Macaca mulatta: one gene and its partners. The protein of the gene in region 2 binds, or shares a complex with, the protein of the main gene of each other region. Links are inferred from orthologs where the notes say so. Each region holds a gene or a part of one and is shown on either strand. Other genes may lie near its edges. The genes, in order: DPF1, SMARCA2 and SMARCC2.

Region 1 (8,061 bases), on a different chromosome or scaffold from region 2:
TGGAGGGTGCCGCCCTCGGAAGTTCCGACTGAGTTCCGAAACCAGCTTGAGCCACGAATGTTCCCCCGCCGTGAGCCTCAGTTTTACCATCTGTGTATGGGGGCTTCTAACAGCCCTTACCACCTGATGGGGCTGTCCTGGGGCTTAAATAAGGCCATCTTTGTAAAGCACTTAGCACAGAGACCGACACTGATCAAATGTAGTGATTATTATTAGTGGTATCAATATTGATTTATGAAATTGATTTCTACTGTGGGCCAGCTCCCCAACAGGGCACTGGGGCATGGGGCAGGAGGATTGTTTGGGCCAGGGAGAGGACTGGGAGTTCAAGTGTGTAGAAGTGTGTGGGAGTGGTGTGTGCAGGTGGTTAGGGCGGAAGGAAAGAAAGGAGAGCCCGCTCCAAGTGTCAGCCTGGGTCTGCGGGTAGAGGCCCTGCTGGTGGGCCAGACACAGAGGCTCATGCCTGTAATCCCAGCACTTTGGGAGGCCAGGGTGGGCAGATCACTTGAGCTTAGAAGTTTGAGACTAGCCTGGCCAACATAGGGACACCCTGTTTTTACAAAAATACAAAAATTAGCCGGGTGTGGTGGTGCACACCTGTAGTCCCAGCTACTTGGGGGTTTGAGGTGGGAGGATCGCTTGAGCCTGGGAGGTGGAGGCTGCAGTGAGCTGTGTTCATGCACTCCAGCCTGGGTCATTGAGTGAGACCCTGTCCAAAAAAAAAGAGAGAGAGAAAAAGAAAGAGGAAAGAAAGAAGGAGAAAGAAAGAAAGAAAGGAAGAAAGAAAGAAAGAGAGAAGGAAAAAGAGAAAGAAAGAAAGGAAGAAAAGAAAAGACAAATAGAAATTCTGCTTGTAGAGGAGGACTGTTAGAAAGGTCTACACTCAGAGTGTCTACACTCGGGCTTCTCTTAATCAAATTGACATGAGAGTTTGGGGTGGGGCAGGGGTGAGTGCCTGAGGCTAGAGGTGTGGGAATCAAGTGTAAGAGGGTGTGCTAGGGGACCTGTGAGCGAATGGGAGGTGAGAGAGGAAGGTGGGGTCACAGCTCACCGTGGGCAAGGCGTGGGGTGGCCACTATAGGCCCCTGGAGGCCAGAGTGATCGTAGGGGTGCCACTTTCCCCCACTTAATCCCTTTGTCACACTCCAGGCCATATGTGAATCAGAGACCCACTTCCTCCTGTTTCAGGAGAGGGGCGGGCCAAGGCCTTACCTGGCTTAGATGGGCAAGTTGGTGGAAAGGGTCTAAGACTAGAGGGGTGTGTGTGTGTGTGTGTGTGTGTGTGTGTGTGTGTGTGTGTGTGTAGAAGTGACCGTGAGTGTAGGAGGCCTTGACTGGATGTTTCTCATGGGGGGATTTCAAGTGACAAAAATGGTGAAGGCTAGCGGGCCACTATTGTCGGCTGGGGCGCCCCCTGGTGGATGAGGGCGTTTGTGGGCGTGTTAATTACAGCAGCCGCCCAAACCTGAATGCTGGCTCTACAGGGGTCGGGGCGGAAGAGAGGAAGGGGAAAGGGGAAGGAGGGGTGAGACGGGAAGAGGGACGGGGTGGTGGTGTTGTGGAGAGACTGGGTCAGTGTGTGACTCAGTGGGTCCGCTCACTCCCTGGGGATCTCTTCCGGTGGAGTCAGTGTGTGTGACAGTGGAAGAGAGAAGGAGGTCAGGGCCACTTGGGGAGGGGCGTCAGGGTGTCTGCCTCCTTCCTTCAGTCTCACTTTCAAAGAGCCGCCAGGGGATGCAGGTATGTGAGGTCACCTTCCTGTGCCTCAGATTCCTCACCTGGAAAATGCAGATAATAATAGCAACACGGGGTGAACTATGCCCAGCACATGATGGGTGCATTTACTCATTCAACAAATATCTACTGAGCATCTATTTTTTTTTTTTTTTTGGAGATAGGGTCTTGCTCAGTTGTCCAGGCTGGAGTGTAGTGGTGTGATCATAGCTCATTACAGCTTTGATCTCCTGGGCTCAACCAATCCTCCTGACTCAGCCTCCTGAGTAGCTGGGACCATAGGCATGTGCCACCATGCCCAGCTATTTATTTTCTTTTTGGTAGAGACCAGGTCTCGCTATGTTGCCCAGGCTGGTCTCCTGAGCTCAAGTGGTCCTCTCATCTCAGCCTCCCAAATTGCTGGGATTACAGGCATGAGTCACCTCGCCCTGCTTACTTATTTTTTTTGTTTGTTTGTTTGCTTTTAGAGACAGAGTCTTGCTCTGCCATCCAGACTGGAGTGCAGTGGTGAGACCACAGCTCACTGCAGCCTCAGCCTCCCAGGTTCAAGCTATCCTCCCACTTTAGCCTCGCAAGTAGCTGGTACTACACTGATGCGCCATCATGCCCAGCTAATTTAAATTTTTTTTTTTTTGTAGAGACAGGAGTCTGGATATGTTGCCCAGGTTGGTCTCAAACTCCTGGGCTCAAGTAGTCCTCTCATCTAGGCCTCCCAAAGTACTGGGATCGCAGACTGGAACCATTGCACCTGGCCAGCATTATTCTTTCTTTCTTATTTGTTATTTATTTATTTATTTATTTTTGAGATGGAGTCTTGCTCTTGTTGCCCAGGCTGGAGTGCAAAGGCATGATCTTGGCTCACTGCAACCTCCGCCTCCTGGGTTCAAGTGATTTTCCTGCCTCAGCTTCCCAAGTGGCTGGGATTATAGGCATGTGCCACTACGCCTGGCTAATTTTGTATTTTTAGTAGAGATGGGGTTTCTCCTTGTTGGTCAGGCAGGTCTCAAACTCCCAACCTAAGGTGATCTGCCCGCCTCAGCCTCTCAAAGTGCTGGGATTACAAGCGTGAGCCACTGTTCCTGGCCCGCATTATTCTTTCTGATAGCATTTAGGTATTACCATTGACATCTTAGTAAAGTACGTATCAGCTCCTTTGTGGAATAAATGGATTTCTTGAGCAAATACTACCTGCCAGGTACCTTTTTTTGTTTTTTTGTTTAAGGCAGTTTCTTGCTCTGTCGCCCAGGCGCGATGTCAACTCACTGCAACCTCCGCCTCCTGGGCTCAAGTGATTCTCCTGCCTCAGCCTCCCAAATAGCTGGGAGTACAGGCATGCACCACCACATCCGGCTAATTTTTGTATTTTTAGTAGAGACTGTTGGCCAGGCTGGTCTCCTACTCCTGACCTCAGGTGATCCACCTGCCTGGGCCTCCCAAAGTGCCGGGATTACAGGTGTGAGCCACTGCACCTGGCCTGCCAGTTACCTTTTAAAATGCTTTGCCTATACTTCCTCATTTAATCCTCACAACACTCCAGTGAGGCATCATCCTCTTTTTACAGATGAGGAAACTGAGGCCCAGAAAGGTTAAGTCATTTGCCAAGGTCACATGGCCACCAAGTGACAGAGCTAAGATTTAAACCCTGGAGGTGAGACTACTGTTTCTAACCTGCACTGCTGCTGTCAGGCCTGCAGAAGGCGTTGAGCAGGGCGGGGTGACCGTGAGCGTGGCTGCTGGGAGAGACAGCCCCGGATGGGGACTCTGGAGCCAGGAGAGACTCGGGTGGGGGGGATGGGAGGTGTCTGCTGGAAGCATGTTGGTGAGAAGTCTGTGTGGGCACCTGGGAGGTGTCTCTGCGTCTCTTAGTATTGCAGTGTGTGTGCATGTGGCTGTGAGTCCGTGCGAAGGTGTGTGAGTAGGAGTGTGTGGGCGGCTGTGAGTCTCCGCGTGAATGTGTGTGTAAACTGCCATGCGTGGGCGTGTGCGAGTCCAGGTGTGCATGTGGTTGTGTGCACGCGAGAGCAGGCTATGTGGACGAGTGAGGGCGGGTGAGTGACGGTGCGTGCCCCGGGCCCCTCCTCCGCGCCGTCCCCGTCCCCGCGGGGTCCCGGGGGCCCCCTGGCCTGGGACTACCACTCCCGGCATGGCCCGGGCGGGCCCGCCCCGTCGCCGCTATTGGCCGTGGCCCTCGTGCTCCCGCCCCCCGGGAATGAATGGATGGGCGGCCTCAGCGCCCGCCCGACCGCTGGGAGGACCGACCCGGCGGGGACCTGCTGGGGGCAGGACCCGGGGAGCAAGATGGCCACTGTCATCCCTGGCCCCCTGAGGTGGTGCGGGCTGGCAGGAGGCGGGGAGGGAGCGCGGGCGGGTCTACGCGGGCCTGGGTGTGTGTGGCGGCCGGGGGTGGGGCCGAGGGGGTGTCTGGGGGGCTGTCACCGAGTGCGGGGCTGCGTGGGGGTGCGAGAGTGTGTGACTGTGGGTCTCTGACAAGAATGATGTCGGATGCGCCGCTCCCTGGAGGGGTGGAGGGCGTGGGGGACCTCCAGATTCTTTTTGGGGAAGGGGGACATCGTCCCCTCCCTGCGACCCTCGGGTCTGGGAGAGGGTGAAATGACCCGGGGGTGCGGGAGCCTTGGCAAACTGGAGTGAAGTCCACACTACCTTTGTCTTGGGATGTGGAGTGTGTGTATGTACCACTTATTTGTGTTCTGGTTTTTTAAAGAATTTTTGGGGGATAGGTGTGTGGACGTGTGTCCGTTTCTTTTTATTCTGCACTAGATATCTTTGGATATTTGGGTCTCCCAGTGTGTGTCTGTGTCCTTTGGAACTATCTGTCATTTGTCTTGTGTTCTGTGTTTTTGGGTATGTAGGACTGTGTGTATTTGTGTGTAAATTTTTGTGTGACTGTGGGTGGATTTGGCTGTTTCTGTGTTTTATATGTGTGTGTGTCTGTGTGGATGTATTATATTTTAGATACTGGTTCCACATTGCACATCTTTGTAAATGTGTGTACCTGTGTGAATCTATGTGATTTCTTTGTGTTGTGTGTCTGGATATTGTGTGTGTGGTTTGTGTTGTGTCTTTGGATACGTGGGTAAGTGCACAGGGGGGTAAGTGGTTTCTGTAGTTCCTGTCCTTTGACATGTGTGTGTCTGTATGTCTTTGGCTGCATGAGGTGTGTATGTGTGTGTGGTGTTATGTTTCCATGTTGTGTGTCTTTGTGTGAGTGATGTGTTTCTGGTGTGTGTCTGTGGATATGTGATGTGTCTTTGTGCATGGTTATTTGTGTGATTCGTCTCCACACTATGGAACTTGGGATATTTGTCTTTTTCAGTAGATATTTATGTGTGCACGTGTGTGAGGTTTGTCTGTTTCTCCTTTGTGAGTACTGGGATTTGTCTCTCTTTGTGTGTGTGAATCCCGTGTGACTGTGTGTGATTTGTGTTGTGTGTCTGCATGTGTTCATGTAGGGATACATCCCGGTGTGTTTTTGTTTGTTTCTGTATGGTGTTTCTACTCATGAGCTGGAGGCGTGTTTGAGTCCCAGTTTGGGGGCCCCTGGGCCCTGTACCCTTCCCCCAGCCTGGGTCCCGGAGTGGGAGGAGGAGAGAGGTGAAGCTGGAGGGGTCTGCCCACCCCTCCCGAGCCTGGGCGGGCCGGCAGCCGGGGGAGGGGTGCTGGGCGACCCAGTGCGCCTGCCCTTGCTGACAGCCGCCCGCCCGTTCGCTGCCCCTCTAGCCTAGGCGAGGACTTCTACCGCGAGGCCATCGAGCACTGCCGCAGCTACAACGCGCGCCTGTGTGCGGAGCGCAGCCTGCGACTGCCCTTCCTCGACTCGCAGACCGGCGTGGCCCAGAACAACTGCTACATCTGGATGGAGAAGACCCACCGCGGGCCGGGTACCGCTGGGAGGGCTGGCGCGAGGCGGGGCGGGGCCGGGCCACCCCACCTCGGCCGCCCTCTCACCTTCCGTTCTCGCCAGGTTTGGCCCCGGGACAGATTTACACGTACCCCGCCCGCTGTTGGAGGAAGAAACGGAGACTCAACATCCTGGAGGACCCCAGACTCAGGCCCTGCGAGTACAAGATCGGTGGGTGCAGCCGCTGGGGCCTCCAATGGTGTCCCACGGCCTGCTGTGTGTCCAAGCCCGTCGGTCACCTTTATCCGCCTTCTAGCAAGTGTCTGCCTGGCTGGCTGTGTGTCTGCCCATGTGCATCTCGGGTGTTTCCCAGAGATTCCACAGTTTCTCTGAGTCACTGAGTGGCGACTGCATCTCCTCCTACATGGGCCCAGGTGCCCAGTTGTTGTTATGTATTTATTTATTTATTTTTGAGACAGAGTTTCACCCAGGCTGGAGTGCAATGGCGCGATCTCGCAACCTCCACCTAGTGGGGAGTTGAACCTTGAACCCGCAACCTCTGCCTAGCGGGTTCAAGCGATTCTCCTGCCTCAGCCTTCTGAGTAGCTGGGATTACAGGCATGCGCCGCCACGCCCAGCTAATTTTGTATTTTTAGTAGAAATGGGGTTTCACCGTGTTGGTCAGGCTGGTTTGGAACTTCTGACCTTAGGTGATCTGGCCACCTCGGCCTCCCGAAGTGCTGGCATTACAGGCGTGAGCCACTGTACCCGGCCTGTTGTTTTTAAAATAGAGGCAGGGTGTTATTATGTTGCCTAGGCTGGTCTCGAACTCCTGAGCTCAAAGGATCCTCCCTTCTCAGCCCTCCAAAGTGTGGCGATTACAGGCGTGAGCCACTACACCCCGCCAAGGGGTCCAGTGGTATTGGAGGGCATAGTGATACCTGTTAGGTGTGTGTGGGTATATGGAGTTTCTGTCTGCATCCCTTCCCCTGGGAGTTGGGATGGATCAGTATCTGCCTGTATTTTTTTTTTTTTTTTTTGGAGATGGAGTCCGGCTCTGTTGCCCAGGCTGGAAGTACAGTGGCACGATCTCAACTCACTGCAACCTCCGCCTAGTGGGTTCAAGTGATTCTCCTGTCTCAACCTCCCACCTAGCGCACATCGACACGCCCGGCTAATTTTTGTGTATTTTTAGTAGAGACGGGGTTTCACCGTGTTGGCCAGGCTGGTCTCGAACTCCTGACCTCAGGTGATCCACCCGACTCGGCCTCCCAGAGTGCTGGGATTATAGGCTTGAGCCACCGTGCCCGGCCATCTGCCTGTATTTTCTTCTGTGGGTGCCTGAGGGTGTCCGCCTCTGTATCTCCCCAAGGGCGTCTGGATGTCTCAGTGTCTGGTTGGAGCTCTTTCCTCTCTTAGGTGTATCTTCCCGGGTGTCTCCAAGTGTCTTAGAAGGCTTGTGTCTTGTGTATGTCTGGTTTGTCAGGGCGTCCAGCTCCTTCCCAGTGTGTCTGGGTGTGTTACGCGGTGCGGCCGTCTCTTTCTGTGGGTGTGTAGGTGCCTCGGAGTGTCTGGGAGAATCTCTTCCTGATGGTGTCTGGTGTATCAGGTGTATTTCTGCACGTGTGTGTCAGTCCATCAGAGGATCTGGACTTAACCTTGAATGTGTTTAGGAGTATCAGGGTCATTGGGGTCAGTTTCTCTTCCTGAGTCCGAAGGTCTGTGTGTACCCAGGAGTGTGGCAGTGACCACCTGGCTGTGTCTCTGTCTGTCTGTGTCTCCTATGTGTGTGTGTGTGTATCTAGCTGAGCAATTCTCCCTGGGTATGTTGGTATCTCCCCACTATGTGTCTAGGCATCTCATCTGGCTGTCTTCCCCAGGGGGGCCTAGGTATCTGGAGGGCTAATTCTTTCTTCTTTCTTTCTTTCTTTCTTTCTTTCTTTCTTTCTTTCTTTCTTTCTTTCTTTCTTTCTTTCTTTCTTTCTTTCTTTCTTTTTCTTTCTTTCTTTCTCTTTCTTTCTTTCTTTCTTTCTTTCTTTCTTTCTTTCTTTCTTTCTTTCTTTCTTTTTCTTTCTTTCTTTTTCTCTCCCTCTCTCTTTCTCTCCCTCCCTCCCTCTCTCTTCTCTTTCTTTCTTTCTTTCTTTTCTTTTTTCTTTCTTTCCCTTCCTTCCTTCCTTCCTTCCTTCCTTCCTTCCTTCCTTCCTTCCTTCCTTCCTTCCTTCCTTCCTTCCTTCCTTCCTTCCTTCCTTCTTCCCTCCCTCCCTCCCTCCCTTCCTTTTCTTTCTTTCTTTTCCTTGTTTCTTTCTCTTTCTTTTCTTCCATCCAGTTTGGAGTGCAGTGGCACGATCTCAGCTCACTGCAACCTCTGTCTCCCGAGTTCAGGTGATTCTCTTTCTCAGCCTCCTGAGTAGCTGGGATTACAGGCGTGAGCAATTACATCCAGTCAATTTTTGTATTTTGTTTTTAAG
Region 2 (7,263 bases):
TGCTGATAGGAACTTGGACCTTCAGTAAGAAGAAGGATTCTATTAATATTATTGTGTTTTCTTTGAATTTTTTCTAATGAAGACTATTTGCAGTCCTTTTTGTATGAATTATCTGTATCTATAATATTTAGGCATCTTTTGCATTTAATCTATATTTTGCACGTTCTGAATCATATATACAGTGACACTTTCAGGACTTTAAAAAAAAAGTCATTCAATATTTCTTCCCCGTTCCCTCTTGACAGATTTATTTTATGTTTTCATGTGGTTTTGTAATTTCTTTTTCCTGACTCAACTTTTTTCTGAACTTATATGACTGTTTATGAAGACTCCTAAAATTATTCTGGCAATTGCTCTTTTTAAATATCATATTACAGTTTAGTTTTTTGCTCTCTATATATTCTCTGGTTTTTTTCTTACAAGATTTTTTTTATGAACCACAAACTTGTCATGTTTTGTGACAGTTTATTTTGAACTTATCTCTTATTTCCACACCTTTAAAATATGTTGTTGAGATATGTTATATTCTGTAGCCCCTTTCAAGGTGAGGCCTGAAAATGAATAAGAACATCTTTTTAACCATTGATTTTTATACAAATGTCTTTTTTCTGTGTATTTTTTTTTGTTGTTCCATAGGACTCTATCTAACTGGACATATGAATTTGACAAATGGGCTCCTTCTGTGGTGAAAATTTCTTACAAGGTTTGGAATGCTGTATTTATATATAAATGTGGAAGAGCAAAAAATAGACCGTATTTTCTTCATTCCATATGCACATCTGTGAACTGTATTTGGTTGTAAAGTTTTGTCATGTACATCATGTACTAAACCGTGAGAGTTAATCATCCCAAGAAGATGACTGTAATAAACCATAATTACTTTCAGATAGTGAAATCCAGAAGAAAATTGTTAATTATCATATTGCAAGGTTTCTGATGAGAGTAATACAAATGACAAATATCACACATTCTGCATGCTGCTGACTGGCTCACTGTGGGCTGCTACTGTGCCGACTGTTCCTGCAAAGTCAGGCAGTTACCCGGGTGCCCGGGCTGCCTGCTGTACTTTCTCAAAAGAACTGGAGCCTTTCAGCAGAGCAGTGGGTTCTCTACTACCACAAAGTCACTGTCATTTCTCTTTGCCCTCCCACTGTCTTTGGTGGGAAAACCTTTCTAAAAAAGATCTGAAAAGGGTCAAGACGTGTAATTTAGCCAAAACTTCCTTGTGTATAATAGATCAGTCTATGAGAATGTGTGTCTGTGCATTCTTCAGTCACATGTCTGGGCATCATTAAGCTATGAATAGTGAGAAATAACACACATATATGTCCATAGGATCATGCATATACTGTTTTCTTTCCATTCAGGGTACTCCTGCCATGCGTCGCTCCCTTGTCCCCCAGCTACGGAGTGGCAAATTCAATGTCCTCTTGACTACTTATGAGTATATTATAAAAGACAAGCACATTCTTGCAAAGGTATGTTTCTAAAAAATTATTTTCTCTCTAATTATGGACCATCGCACTGGAACGTGAAGTATTGCCCAAATCAATAGTATAATTAGATCCTTAGATGGCTTGTCCCTTTCTTTATTTTTTAAAAATTTTGTCAGAGTTTGATGTATTTAGGTCATGGATTTGATTTCATGCATGCTATTTGTGTGTGTGTGTGTGTGTGTGTGTGTGTGTGTGTGTGTGTATGGTTGATCCTGGAATGGCTCTTGACTGTCCTCTCAGAGTTGATGAGTTTACATCTCTTAGAAAAATTCACCTGGTTGCTTCTGCAACTCTTTTCTCTCCAACAGCTTTGAACATTCTCGGGAGAGAAATAATTGTTTTTGTTGCCCTGAGATATTGTCAGTGTAACTTCATTCCTCTTGTGCCTTTGTTTCTCCAAAGATGAGCCAGACACCTCTGCATATGGTCTCCGCCATATGAACATTTATCCAAGCATTGGCTTTTGTGGTAGTCTTGTTTCAGGTTTTTCCTGGTGAAATAATAGACTATCATTGTTGGATTACTCAAGGCTGTTTCTGTGACTATTTATTTGAAACTGAGAAAGAGGTGTTTCTGTGACTTACGTGTCTCCTAATTTGTGTGTCCTAAGTTGTTCCTCAGCCACAAAGTAGAAGTTTTTACCCCCATTTTTATCATCTTGTCTTCTAGTACATTCATGTAGAAAGATGGAAGTACTCTCTCTCATGGAACAAATAATGAAAACTCATTTTTTTTTCTCTTTAGTAATTTTTTTTTTACCCCATGATGTTTTGAAAGCACTATAATCTGAAACTAAGTTATGTCCAAAATTGAATAGAACCTCTATTTCTGGGGTCTATTCTATCTCTGCATTAAACTCTTGCTCTGGGAACTGAGAGTTCCCTTCATGGCATCATAGGAAATAACAAAAAGGAAATGTGTTCCCAGGGGAGGTTTAATAATTGAGATGGCACTGGCAACAATGTTGTGTTCCACCTCCTCACACTCAGAGATGAATTTGGCAGTGTCAAAAATGATGTGTTTTCAATATTACTATGGGAATGTATTTGTACATTTGAGATCCTTTTAAAAAAATTCATATTGTGTCATCTGCATATGTATTTCAAGATTCATTGGAGATGCCTGGTAATGAGATGCATTGCTTTTATTTGTTACTGGAGAAATGGAGCTATAGAAAGGGGTAGTAATTTTGTCCAAGTGGAAGACCTAATTAGTAGTAGACCCAATAGCAAAATCAAAGGCCTCTGATTCTTTATTACTTCATAAGCTAAATTAGGCAAGAAAGTAGATTTAGGATATTTATTTAAATATATTTTTGTCTGCTTACCTCTTTTCATGCTATTGGTAAGTTTGAGGCAGTTGATTGTACAGTTTTAATTATCCTTTAAGCACTTTCCTTAGAGGTGGTGGAGGAAGGAAGAAAAATTGAGGTAGGTTTTTTGTTTGTTTGTTTGTTTACCTATACATCCCAGCCTGACTGATAATTTTATTCCTTTTCTCCCGGCATGTCTGATGCTTCTAATGAGGAAGGCAAGGACTGTATAGAATACTTCCCTCATCTCCCTTCTGTCTCTAGGAGCTTTGCAGCAGGATCTGGGGACATCTGAGCACCAGATGTTTTTCTTGGCCATAGCCACTGTTTTGTAGAGAATGGATAGGCTTAGTGGAACATTCCTCATTGTTCTCACTTTAAGAAACTGAACAGTGCTCTTAAGAGGACCGAAGGGCAAGGCATGAGAGAGGAAAGGGACTGTGTAGACAGGATAGAGGACTGGGCCATTTAAGCATTCTGGACGTTTTACGCAATAGTCATGTTGGGGAATTATGCTGTATTTAATTCTGCAGTTTTGGCATAAATAGAGGAATGATATTTTTGCACTGCCCTTTCTGCCAGTGAGTATATACTTTTATTTTAGATAAAACAGGGGTCCTAGATCTGGCAGGTAAGGAATGTGCGTGTATTGAGGGAGCTTGGTTGTCAGACCTAATTTTTGAAGAGCTGTATGTACAAATTTAATGTGAAATGGTCCAACTTTTAAATGTTAGCAACCAGTCCAAACAAAACAAAACACACTTCCCAGCCAAGCCCTAAAGGTAGTAACCAGCCAGGCTAATAGAAAAGAAGGTATGGAGCCAGGAATATCTCAGCTGTAGAACCTGCTAGGGCCATCTTGGAAAAATCAGTCATTAACCTCTGCTTCAGGTGGGTACCTATATTCTGCACCTGTCATGAGCCGAAATAGCATGACAATGAAATCTGGGATAGCTGTCATGATACAGTATTACTAGAAGGGGCACTGGATGGGGAGATACAGGATCCACATGTAGGAACAACCATGTCATTCTGGACCTAACTTTCTTTCTTTGTAAAAAGTTGATTTGGAATTACGAGGTCTGTAAGGAACATTGTTGCTTTAACATTCTATTATTACAGGATGTCTTATGTGGCCTATCAGGCATGAGACATTGTTGAGATTCTCTTGTCTCAAAGGTAATCACGGCATATCATATACCAAGGATGGGTTCTTTGGTTTCCCGCACCACTACTTGCTTGTTGGAAATAGTTGTATTTTCCCTTGCTTACTACATGTCCATCCTTCCTCTTATGTTATAGATTCGGTGGAAATACATGATAGTGGATGAAGGCCACCGAATGAAGAATCACCACTGCAAGCTGACTCAGGTCTTGAACACTCACTATGTGGCTCCCAGAAGGATCCTCTTGACTGGGACCCCGCTGCAGAATAAGCTCCCTGAACTCTGGGCCCTCCTCAACTTCCTCCTCCCCACAATTTTTAAGAGCTGCAGCACATTTGAACAATGGTTCAATGCTCCATTTGCCATGACTGGTGAAAGGGTACTGGTCTGACTTTTGTTTTTTCTACTGCATGACAATGACATGAAATGAAAGGCCCTAAAGCTGGGAACATTACTGCCACAGAACACCCGCAGGGTGGTTTACAATGTTGTTTATTTTATGAAACCCATTGGTGGGTGGACATGGTCTCGTGGTGGGGTTATTTTCCCCTCCTAGGAAAATGGATCTAGTGGTATACGGGGCATCTAATCCCTTTGTCTTTTGCCAGCATGTTTACCAGGCTACCAGAAAAGGGTCCCTACTGGTGGAACCAGTGGGCCACAGGGAGGATGAACATGGAGATGTTTTGCTGAATTAATTTAACCAGATCAAATTAACAACTAAATACAAGCTTTAAACAAATCTTTCCTTGTTATAAACTTGGAGTTCCCTTTGAAATATTTCCACATGAAGAGTTTGTGTGTAAAACAGAACTAGTTTTCACTAATTTTCTGCACACTTTTTTTTTTTTTCTTTTTAGGTTTTAATGTGAGTTTCAGTTTTGTGTGTACGTAAATTGTCTTCCTGGAGTAGCCATTTATTTTCCAGTTTCTTACTGTTCCTTCCACTGTCTTCTCTTAAGACCTCATTTATGAAAGGAAGACAATGGGCCGTTGCAAGAAAAGAAATGGGCACGTCATTTTCATAGTGGTTCCTCATTCATAGGAATGAAAAGCCACTAAAAATGCTTTAGTAAAATTTCAGTTTGAATTATTTGGTCCTTTGATTTTGAGGCACATGGGCCCCTCCTCAGTGGTTAACTCACTGGCTTGCCCATTTGTAGAAAGTAGTGTCAATCAACTCTGCCCCCTAGAGGTTAATAGGAGAAGGTGAAAGAGAAAGCCGGGAAATTTGTAAGTTTGGCTAAATTTGAACTAGATAGGGCTGAGAAAAGGAAAGGAGTGAAGTTAGAGGGACTTAGAGGTCCACCAGCATAAACTAGATCGACTCTTGTTCCTCTTCTTTATATGTGCAAGCCCCTGTTCCTTTAGTATGTTTCTGTGTCTGAGACAACCAAGACGAAGGGCCTAACTTAAGGCTGCCACTTTAAATAGGGAACATATTAACTATTGCCCCTCTTCTCCCGTTCTATCTCAATCTTCAGTCCGTCTTCATTGACAGTCATATTCCATACAATTTGGGGCTGTTGACACTACTGATAAAAACTGGTGGCTTCTGGACTCTTTTCCATAGAACTCAGCATTAAGACAAAGATCTATTTAGAGGTCATTTTGTTACCGCTTGGTAGGCAGGTGGGAAGATAATTCAGAGGTAGATATGATAGGCTTAAACCTGGCTTTAATGCATGTAAAATGTTAATCATGTATTGAACCATATAAGTATAACATAAAGCTTTATTGTATGAAACATCCTTTTCTTTAAAACATCAAATTCATATAAGCCTCTCTTACAGGTGGATTTAAATGAAGAAGAAACTATATTGATCATCAGACGTCTACATAAGGTGTTAAGACCATTTTTACTAAGGAGACTGAAGAAAGAAGTTGAATCCCAGCTTCCAGAAAAAGTATGTCGCACAGTCAAAAGTTGTGGGGTTTTTTTTCCTCCAGCAAATATATTTGAAGTACCTGCCTCTGAGATTGTGTTTCTGAAACAGCAGACTCATATTGTAGTTATAAGTATCTTGAAAATATCTTAAAGTGCTTTTTTGTTTGATAGGGCTAGAGAGAGAAGGGAAATTATAGCATTTGCAGCCTGTTTTCCAAAAGCGTTCGAGCGGATTTTATAAAATTATCAAATTCATTGAGTCTCATTTACATTTTAATTTTAGAATTTTTTTTTTTAAGTGGCCTCATTGAGTTCACTGTTGCAGGCACTGTAGAATTGTTCTGCTTATAAGTGAATGGAATATTTGACTTTGGGGACTTGTGTCATCATTGAAGGGGATGGGGAACATTAGCAGGTTTTCTAGAAATGTATTTAGTATTTGATGTTTGTGATGTCACCATTCTGACAGTAAGTGAAAAAACAAGAGTTTCTGCAAATTACAGACACACCATCTAATTATTTGGGGACATTATTTTTGTTCCGTGCCATAAAAATTAAGTTCCTGTGACCACGTTAAGCCAGTATTTTTCAGACTAACTTTTGGAAACTTAGTTTGTGGTGCTTTAGAACAGCTTCTGAGCCCTTCGCTCTATGTTTTGGGGTTGGATTTGAGTATTAGTTTACTATGTTTCTGATCGTATTTTGGAACCATGCATATTTGAATTCTAAGTTTCATTCTCTTAAAGATAGTTTAGCATTGTATACTATTTGTTGCATGAGGTATTTTGATTGGAGTTTTTTCTTTAGAAGAGCCAATTCTGAGATGTTTTATTTTTTGCATGATTGTGGTTTTTCTGGGTAACGACTCTATTTTTGGACAGATCGGTTCCTCCTGTTCATTTTTAAGTGGGAGTTGTCAAGATGGTGTACAAAGTTGATCACTTTGTTAAGAGAGAATTTTACTCCCTAATCCTTTATGCATTGATAGTCTGAAAAAAAATTAAAAATGATTTTTATACCATGCATGTCTCAGTGAAAGTCTAAGTATTTAAGTATTTTATTCTGCTGGTGAATGCATCTTGGGTGTAGAATGCTGTTGATACTCCCTTGGACTTCCTGTGTTCTTGGCCTCTGGGTAGCACCCTTTCTGTTCAAGATGGAGTTTAGTTACTGAGTACATAAATTGGTAAATGGGTATAGTGGCCATGTGGGTGCCTTGAATTACTTCCTAGCATACAATTACAGTGATTCTGCAAGTGATAGAGATGGAATGTTAATTATTTTAATTTATCACATAATTTCTTTTTTTTTTTCTTTAGAAGAGGTATAAAATAAAAGGCAATTAACTGAAGCCTTTCATTTATTCATTCCATAAAAATTCTTAATCTTGTTCATTCATTT
Region 3 (7,263 bases), on a different chromosome or scaffold from region 2:
ACTGCAGCAATTTCGAGCTTTTTTCCTTCTTTGCCTTCTAGACTTTTCCTCCCTTGGGGCCCCCATCCCTTCAACAGTGCCTTCTTCTGAAACCACTCTGGCTTCTCTTACAGCGTTCATGCCATTGAGCGGAGGGCTCTCCCCGAGTTCTTCAACGGCAAGAACAAGTCCAAGACTCCAGAGATGTAAGGAAATCTCAGCTCATGATTCTCTTTCTCCCTCCTGTCCCCCCATTCACCCTTCCTGATCCAGTAACATTCAGTTTAGCAAACATTTCTTGAGCTCCTTCCATGAGCCAGGCACTGTGCTAGGCTTACAAAGACACAATATCTGCCTTTAGGCAGCCCTGGCCTAGCATGTAGACACATGTTCTTTAGGATTTGCCTAAGGGTGCTATTAAGCATGTTCTGTATATAACAAGTACTTACTTCAATGCCTCAAATTCTTTTTAACAGGGTATAGAGCCTTTAAATCCATATTACTGATATTGTCTAAACTGCAGATATTCCTAGCACAAGTAATAGCTTTGATTAAAGTGTAAATTACTATTACCAGGCTGGTTCCTGAGAGTAGGTTTTCATAGAAAAACAAGAGAAGGAACTAATAGAAGACCAGTTTATATAAATTAAGGGATGGAGAGGGCTCTCTGGGAAAGAAGTGTAGGAGCCACAGTGGCTCACGACTGTAAATCATCCCAGCTACTTGGGACACTGAGACAGAAGGATTCCTTGAGGCCAGGAGTTCAAGAATAGTGTGAGCAACATTGCAGGACTCCCGTCTCTAAAGAAGTGAAAAAAAAAATTAGCTGGGCATGGTGGGGCATACCTGTGGTCCCAGCTACTTGAGAAGCTGAAATGGGAGGGTTGCTTGAGCCTAGGAGTTTGAGGCTACACTGAGCCATGATCACGCCACTGCACTCCAGCCTGACTGACACAGCAAGACCCCATATCTAAAAAAATGAATGAACAAGGCTGGGCACTGTGGCTCATGCCTATAATCCTAACACTTTGGGAGGCCGAGGCGGGTGGATCACAAGGTCAGGAGATCAAGACCATCCTGGCTAACGTGGTGAAACCCCGTCTCTATTAAAAATACCAAAAAAGACCAGGCGCAGTGGCTCATGCCTGCAATCCCAGCACTTTGGGAGGCGCAGGTGGGCAGATCACCTGAGGTGGGGAGTTCGAGACCAGCCTGACCAACCTGGAGAAACCCCATCTCTACTAAAAATACAAAACTAGCCTGGCATGGTGGCACATGCCTGTAATCCCAACTACTACAGAGGCTGAGGCAGGAGAATCGCTTGAACATGGGAGGCGGAAGTTGTGGTGAGCCGAGATCATGCCACTGCACTCCAGCCTGGCCAACAAGAGTGAAACTCTGTCTGGAAAAAAAAAAAAATAGCCGGGCATGGTGGCACGCATCTGTAGTCCCAGCTAGTCTGGAGGCTGAGGCAGGAGAATCGCTTGAACCTGGGAGGCAGAGGTTGCAGTGAGCCAAGATCACACCACTGCACTCCAGCCTGGGCGATAGAGCAAGACTCTGTCTCAGAAAAAAAAAAAAAGTTAATGAACAAATAAATAAAAGTATGGGTTTGGGGCTCGAAAGTCTTCATCTCCTTCAAGATTTTGCCTCAGGCCGGCTGAGCGTGGTGGCTCACACCTGTAATCCCAGCACTTTGGGAGGCCGAGGCAGGCTGATCATGAGGTCAGGAGATGGGAGACCATCCTGGCTAACACAGTGAAACCCTGTCTCTACTAAAAATACAAAAAAAATTAGCTGGGCATGGTGGCGGGCACCTGTAGTTCCAGCTACTTGGGAGGCTGAGGCAGGAGAATGGCGTGAACCCGGGAGGCAGAGCTTGCAGTGAGCTGAGATTCTGCCACTGCACTTCAGCCTGGGCAACAGAGCGAGACTCCGTCTCAAAAAAAAAAAAAAGATTTTGCCTCAGGCCAAACCTGCTTGGCTTTGGATAAGACGTGGCAATCTTCTTTGGTTAGGAATACTTGAAGATAACCACATTGATGAGGTGGGTGAGACTGAGAACTGAACAAGTTTTCTTCCTAGGTATTCCACAGCTTGCCTTCTCTGGTGGTCCCTCCATGTTTTTTCCTCATAGCTTGCTGTGGTTCTTTCTTCTTCTCTTCCTGGAGAAAGCAGTATGTGTGAAAAGAAAGTAGTGATCAGATGAAATGAATTCAACATGACATGCAGGCAGGGTTGGAGTAGGAACTGAACTCTTGGTATAAAATAGTAAATGATGGGCTCGGTGTGGTGGTTCACGCCTGTAATTCCAGCACTTTGGGAGGCCGAGGCGGGGCAGATCATGAGGTCAGGAGTTCGAGACCAGCCTGGCCAACATGGTAAAACCCCATCTCTACTAAAAATACAAAAATTAGCTGGGTGTGGTGGCACGCACCTGTAATCCCAGCTACTTGGGAGGCTGAGGCAGGAGAATCACTTGAGCCCAGTAGGTGGAAGTTGCAGTGAGCCGAGATCACGTCATTGCACTCCAGCCTGGGCAACAAGAGTGAAACTCCATCTCAGAAAAAAAAAATAGTAAATGATGATAATTGCCTACATCTGGGAGCTTAGTATCTCCCAGGCACTATCCTAAATGTCCAACATACATTGAGTAATTTAATCTTTATGTCAACGAAGGTTGATATCATCTTCAGTTGACAGATAGGGTACAGAGGAGTCAGGTCACCTGCATAAAGTCACAGAGCTAGTAAGTAAAACCAGGATCTGAATCCTTTAATCTGGCCCATGATCTGAAAGTTTACACTGTACCACGTAATAGCCGCCATTTTTTTTGAGCCCCTACAGTGCCCCAGGCACTGTACTAGTACTCTATAGACCTTTCATTCTCAACGGATGTTCCATTTTACAGATGAGGAAACTGAGGTTTAAAAAAATCGAAGTAAATTGCCAAGGTCCTCATGGTAGAACTGGGATTAGGTCTTTTCTTCAAAACATATGTTTTTTACCATATTATGCTAACTAGCTGTGTGCATGAATAAGGACTTCCTTATTAACATCTGAGTTTGGAAATGAGTACTTTTTCTTAACTTCTAATTCCTTGTTTAAAAATTGTATAAAATGGCCAGGCGCAGTGGCTTATGCCTGTAATCCCAGCACTTTGGGAGGCCGAGGCAGGAGGATCACCTGAGGTCAGGAGTTCAAGACCAGCCTGACCAACATGGAGAAAACCTGTCTCTACTAAAAATACAAAATTATCCCACCGTAGTGGCACATGCCTGTCATCTCAGCTACTGAGGAGGCTGAGGCAGGAGAATTGCTTGAACCCAGGAGGCGGAAGTGACTGTGAGCCAAGATCACGCCATTGCACTCCAGCCTGGGCAACAAGAGTGAAACTCCATCTCAAAAAAAAAAAAATTGTATGAAATATCCATAAGTATAGCCAAGGAGATAATTCATTTAAAGAAAACACCATCAAGGAAAACTAAGACCTATTTGAAACCCTTTCATCTAGCACATAGCAGGCACTCAGCGTATTGAGTCAAATAATCTACTTTTTTCCACCTTTATCATGCAGGAGAAGTCGTTAGCTCTCTTACCATTTTTTCCTTTAGCCCTTTAACAAACATTAATTTTTTTTCTTGTTTCTCTCTCTCTTCTAAGCTACCTGGCCTATCGAAACTTTATGATTGACACTTACCGACTGAACCCCCAAGAGTATCTTACCTCTACCGCCTGTCGCCGAAACCTAGCGGGTGATGTCTGTGCCATCATGAGGTGGGTCTTGTGGCTGAGGGGAAGGGGGTACATGAAGATGCCTGCCTATGGATGTGTTTTGACAACAGTAGAGATGCCAGCAAGGAACATAGAGGAGCAGGCAGAAAAAAACACCTCTAGAGAAAGGTGAAGTACAGGTTTGGGAATGAATGACTTGGGGGATTAGCAGTGGCATTCTCTGAAGTGTAGAATATAGGACAAAGGAGCACGTGTGTAATTGAAAGCTACTGGTTCAGGCCAGGTGTAGTGGCTCGTGCCTATAATCTAAACATTTTGGGAGACCAAGGTGGGAGGATCGCTGGAGGCCAGAAGTTCGAGACCAGCCTGGGCAAAATGGCGAAACCCCATCTCTACAGAAAATGCAAAAAAATTAGCTAGGCGTGGTCGCACGTGTCTATGGTCTTAGTGACTCAGGAGGCTGAGATGGGAGGATCACTGAGCCCTGGAGTGGAGGCTGCAGTGAGCGGTGATCACACCACTGCACTTCAGCCTCTCTCAGGGATAGAAAAAAAGAAAGAGAGGGAGAGGGAGGGAGTGGGGAGGGAGGAAGGGCAAAGAAAGAAAAGAAAAGAAAGAAACTGGTTCAGTTTTACTAGCTATTCAGGAAGAAATGTTCAGTAGGTAGGTGGATATAGAGATTGGCCCAGGCTGGAGATGTAGACTTGGGTGTCACTGGCATTTAGGTGGTAAATGAACAACTGGAGTAGGTAAAATTTCCTAAGGAGTACAATGAACAGAGGAAAAGGCTGGGGTTGGGTGGGGAGGGGGTTTATGCCCCAACTTCTACCCCCAGTTTTCCTCTTCCTCGTGCACCTTTCTGGCTATCCGTGTGACACTGTCTCTGCCTCTCTCCGCACAGGGTCCATGCCTTCCTAGAACAGTGGGGTCTTATTAACTACCAGGTGGATGCTGAGAGTCGACCAACCCCAATGGGGCCTCCGCCTACCTCTCACTTCCATGTCTTGGCTGACACACCATCAGGGCTGGTGCCTCTGCAGCCCAAGACCCCTCAGGTAGGGTGAGGTACTATGGGGATGGGGCGGGGTTGGGAAGATTGGGCTTCTTTGAACTTTTCTTTTTCTGGTTTTTAGGCTAATGGTTCAGGAGTGTTTTGAGGCTTCTTGCTTTTCCATGGGATGCAAAGGGCCACAGGAATCAGCCCCATGTGTTTAGCATCCTCTCTCAGCCTTTGTACCTAAGGCTGTAATTGCTGAGGGAGAAGAGATTATCCTTTTACTCAAGGAGCAGACAGGCTAATGTAGGGGATTCAATAGATAGAGAAAAATGGCTTAAAATTAACTTGCATGAAATTTTTAAACTTTGTCATCTTTGCCACATTTTTTCATTTTTGCCTCATAATTATCACCTTCTTTTTTTTTTTTTTTTCATTTCCACTTCATCCATTACAAAATTTAGGAAGAAGGTTATGTGGCTTGCCCAAGGTCACAGAGTACCAAATCTAGGATTAGAACGTAATTGTCCAGCTCCTAAGAGAACCTGTAAAGATAATGTGAATATATATGGATATCATGCCAATGACATGTCTTACTAATCATGAAGGGAACATGGAACAGTGGCATGAGTGCCCCCAGAGCTTGCGGGCCGCCCAGCATTTGGTCTTGAGGCCTCCAGGGCCTTGACCTGGTCATTTCCTGCCCAGCCTCCATGACGCCAAGCTCTGTCCCCCAGGGCCGCCAGGTTGATGCTGATACCAAGGCTGGGCGAAAGGGCAAAGAGCTGGATGACCTGGTGCCAGAGACGGCTAAGGGCAAGCCAGAGCTGGTAGGTGGGGTGCAGACCCTGCTGGGCTGCTCATTTGCCCCTTTATTGGGGGGCCCCTGCCCGGGAAGAAGAGACATGAGAGCAGAGGAACTACAGCAGTAAGGGAGGAAGTCCCACCCAGGGGTGTCCCTGGCTTTGGGAAAGAAGCTCCTTCTGTCTGTTTTTTCTCTCTGTCAGCCCCTGGCTCCCAGTGGTCACTTGTACTCACCTCTTTCTTTCCCTCCACAAATAGCAGACCTCTGCTTCCCAACAAATGCTCAACTTTCCTGACAAAGGCAAAGAGAAACCAACAGACATGCAAAACTTTGGGCTGCGCACAGACATGTACACAAAAAAGAATGTTCCCTCCAAGGTAGGAGGTGGGGGCCGACTTTAGGGGTAGAGAATGTTCACTCCTCAGAGGTCACAGGCTCCTCTCTTCTGACCTGCCTGTGTTTCCCCTGCAGAGCAAAGCTGCAGCCAGTGCCACTCGTGAGTGGACAGAACAGGAAACCCTGCTTCTCCTGGAGGTAATTGGGGCAAAGAAAAGAGTTTTTCTCTGGAAACAGAAGTGGGCTCCGTGTAGAGGCTCACACCTGTAATCCCAGCACTTTGAGAGGCCAAGGCAGGAGGATCGCTTGAGCCCAGGAGTTCGAGACGAGCCTGGACAACATAGTGAGACTCTGCCTTTATGAAAAATTTAAAAAATTAGCCAGGTGTGGTGGCACACACCTGTGGTCCCAGCTACTCAGGAGGCTAAGTGGGAGGCTTGCCCAGGAGGTCAAGGCTCCAGTGAGCTGTGATCATACCACTGCACTCCAGCATGGGTGACAGAGTGAGACAAGACCCTGTTTCAAAAAACAAACAAACAAAAAAAGAAAACAGACATGTTGAAGTTGCTGGCCACACTTGTGAGTGAGGAGAGATCGTGGAGTTTGGCATGAGCAGAGCATGATCTTGCCCTGTCTCTCCCGTTCCCAATGCCTGTTGCACCTGCCCCAGGGACCAGCTCCAGGCTGGGGATTTGGGCCATTTCATTAACTTCATATCCTTTCTTAGTGCTACTTCAAGATCCCTCTTGGACCTAGCAGAGTACACAAATACCAGAACATAGAGAGCTTTGAAACCAGCTGCCCTTAGTAGGATGGGGGGAGTCGGCCTTCGAGAAAAGTGGCTAAGTAAGCGGAGTTATGTCTCCACCACTACCACCAGGCACTGGAAATGTACAAAGATGACTGGAACAAAGTGTCCGAGCATGTGGGAAGCCGCACACAGGACGAGTGCATCTTGCATTTTCTTCGTCTTCCCATTGAAGACCCATACCTGGAGGACTCAGAGGCCTCCCTAGGCCCCCTGGCCTACCAACCCATCCCCTTCAGTCAGTCGGGCAACCCTGTTATGAGCACTGTTGCCTTCTTGGCCTCTGTCGTCGATCCCCGAGTCGCCTCTGCTGCTGCAAAGTCAGCCCTAGGTAATGGGGGTGGGCGGTTCCACCTGGCCTTCTTAGTTTGCTTTTGAAGGGCTAGTTACTCAGACTGTGAATCCTCTCAAGTTTGGCTGCCCTGCTGTCCTTGTCTGTGCAGGCCTCAGCTCGGGCATCTGTCTAGGCTCCATACTGGCTTAGATAAAGACATGGGCTTGTGAGTAAGCTTTTGCAGGGATTGCCAGAACTGTCCCCCTGCGCCACTCCCAGCCTCATCCTTTCTGGGTCTTACAGAGGAGTTCTCCAAAATGAAGGAAGAGGTA

Evidence for each region.
Region 1: SMARCA2 (region 2) and DPF1 share a complex: the UniProt entries of both Homo sapiens proteins name them as parts of the neuron-specific chromatin remodeling complex. The link is inferred for Macaca mulatta from reciprocal best matches to the Homo sapiens genes SMARCA2 and DPF1.
Region 3: SMARCA2 (region 2) and SMARCC2 share a complex: the UniProt entries of both Homo sapiens proteins name them as parts of the BAF complex. The link is inferred for Macaca mulatta from reciprocal best matches to the Homo sapiens genes SMARCA2 and SMARCC2.

What each region holds. Positions count from the first base shown.
Region 1 is NC_133424.1:49,295,435-49,303,495, reverse strand, and holds the start of DPF1 (zinc finger protein neuro-d4), read left to right. Parts: upstream 1-3,598; 5' UTR 3,599-3,951; coding exon 3,952-4,064; intron 4,065-5,472; coding exon 5,473-5,633; intron 5,634-5,716; coding exon 5,717-5,824; intron 5,825-8,061. UniProt on the Homo sapiens protein: May have an important role in developing neurons by participating in regulation of cell survival, possibly as a neurospecific transcription factor. Belongs to the neuron-specific chromatin remodeling complex (nBAF complex).
Region 2 is NC_133420.1:97,378,998-97,386,260, reverse strand, and holds part of SMARCA2 (SWI/SNF-related matrix-associated actin-dependent regulator of chromatin subfamily A member 2), read left to right. Parts: intron 1-636; coding exon 637-703; intron 704-1,367; coding exon 1,368-1,478; intron 1,479-4,110; coding exon 4,111-4,353; intron 4,354-5,767; coding exon 5,768-5,881; intron 5,882-7,263. UniProt on the Homo sapiens protein: ATPase involved in transcriptional activation and repression of select genes by chromatin remodeling (alteration of DNA-nucleosome topology).
Region 3 is NC_133416.1:63,323,980-63,331,242, reverse strand, and holds part of SMARCC2 (SWI/SNF complex subunit SMARCC2), read left to right. Parts: intron 1-113; coding exon 114-185; intron 186-3,642; coding exon 3,643-3,756; intron 3,757-4,615; coding exon 4,616-4,769; intron 4,770-5,445; coding exon 5,446-5,538; intron 5,539-5,770; coding exon 5,771-5,890; intron 5,891-5,984; coding exon 5,985-6,047; intron 6,048-6,729; coding exon 6,730-6,988; intron 6,989-7,234; coding exon 7,235-7,263. UniProt on the Homo sapiens protein: Involved in transcriptional activation and repression of select genes by chromatin remodeling (alteration of DNA-nucleosome topology).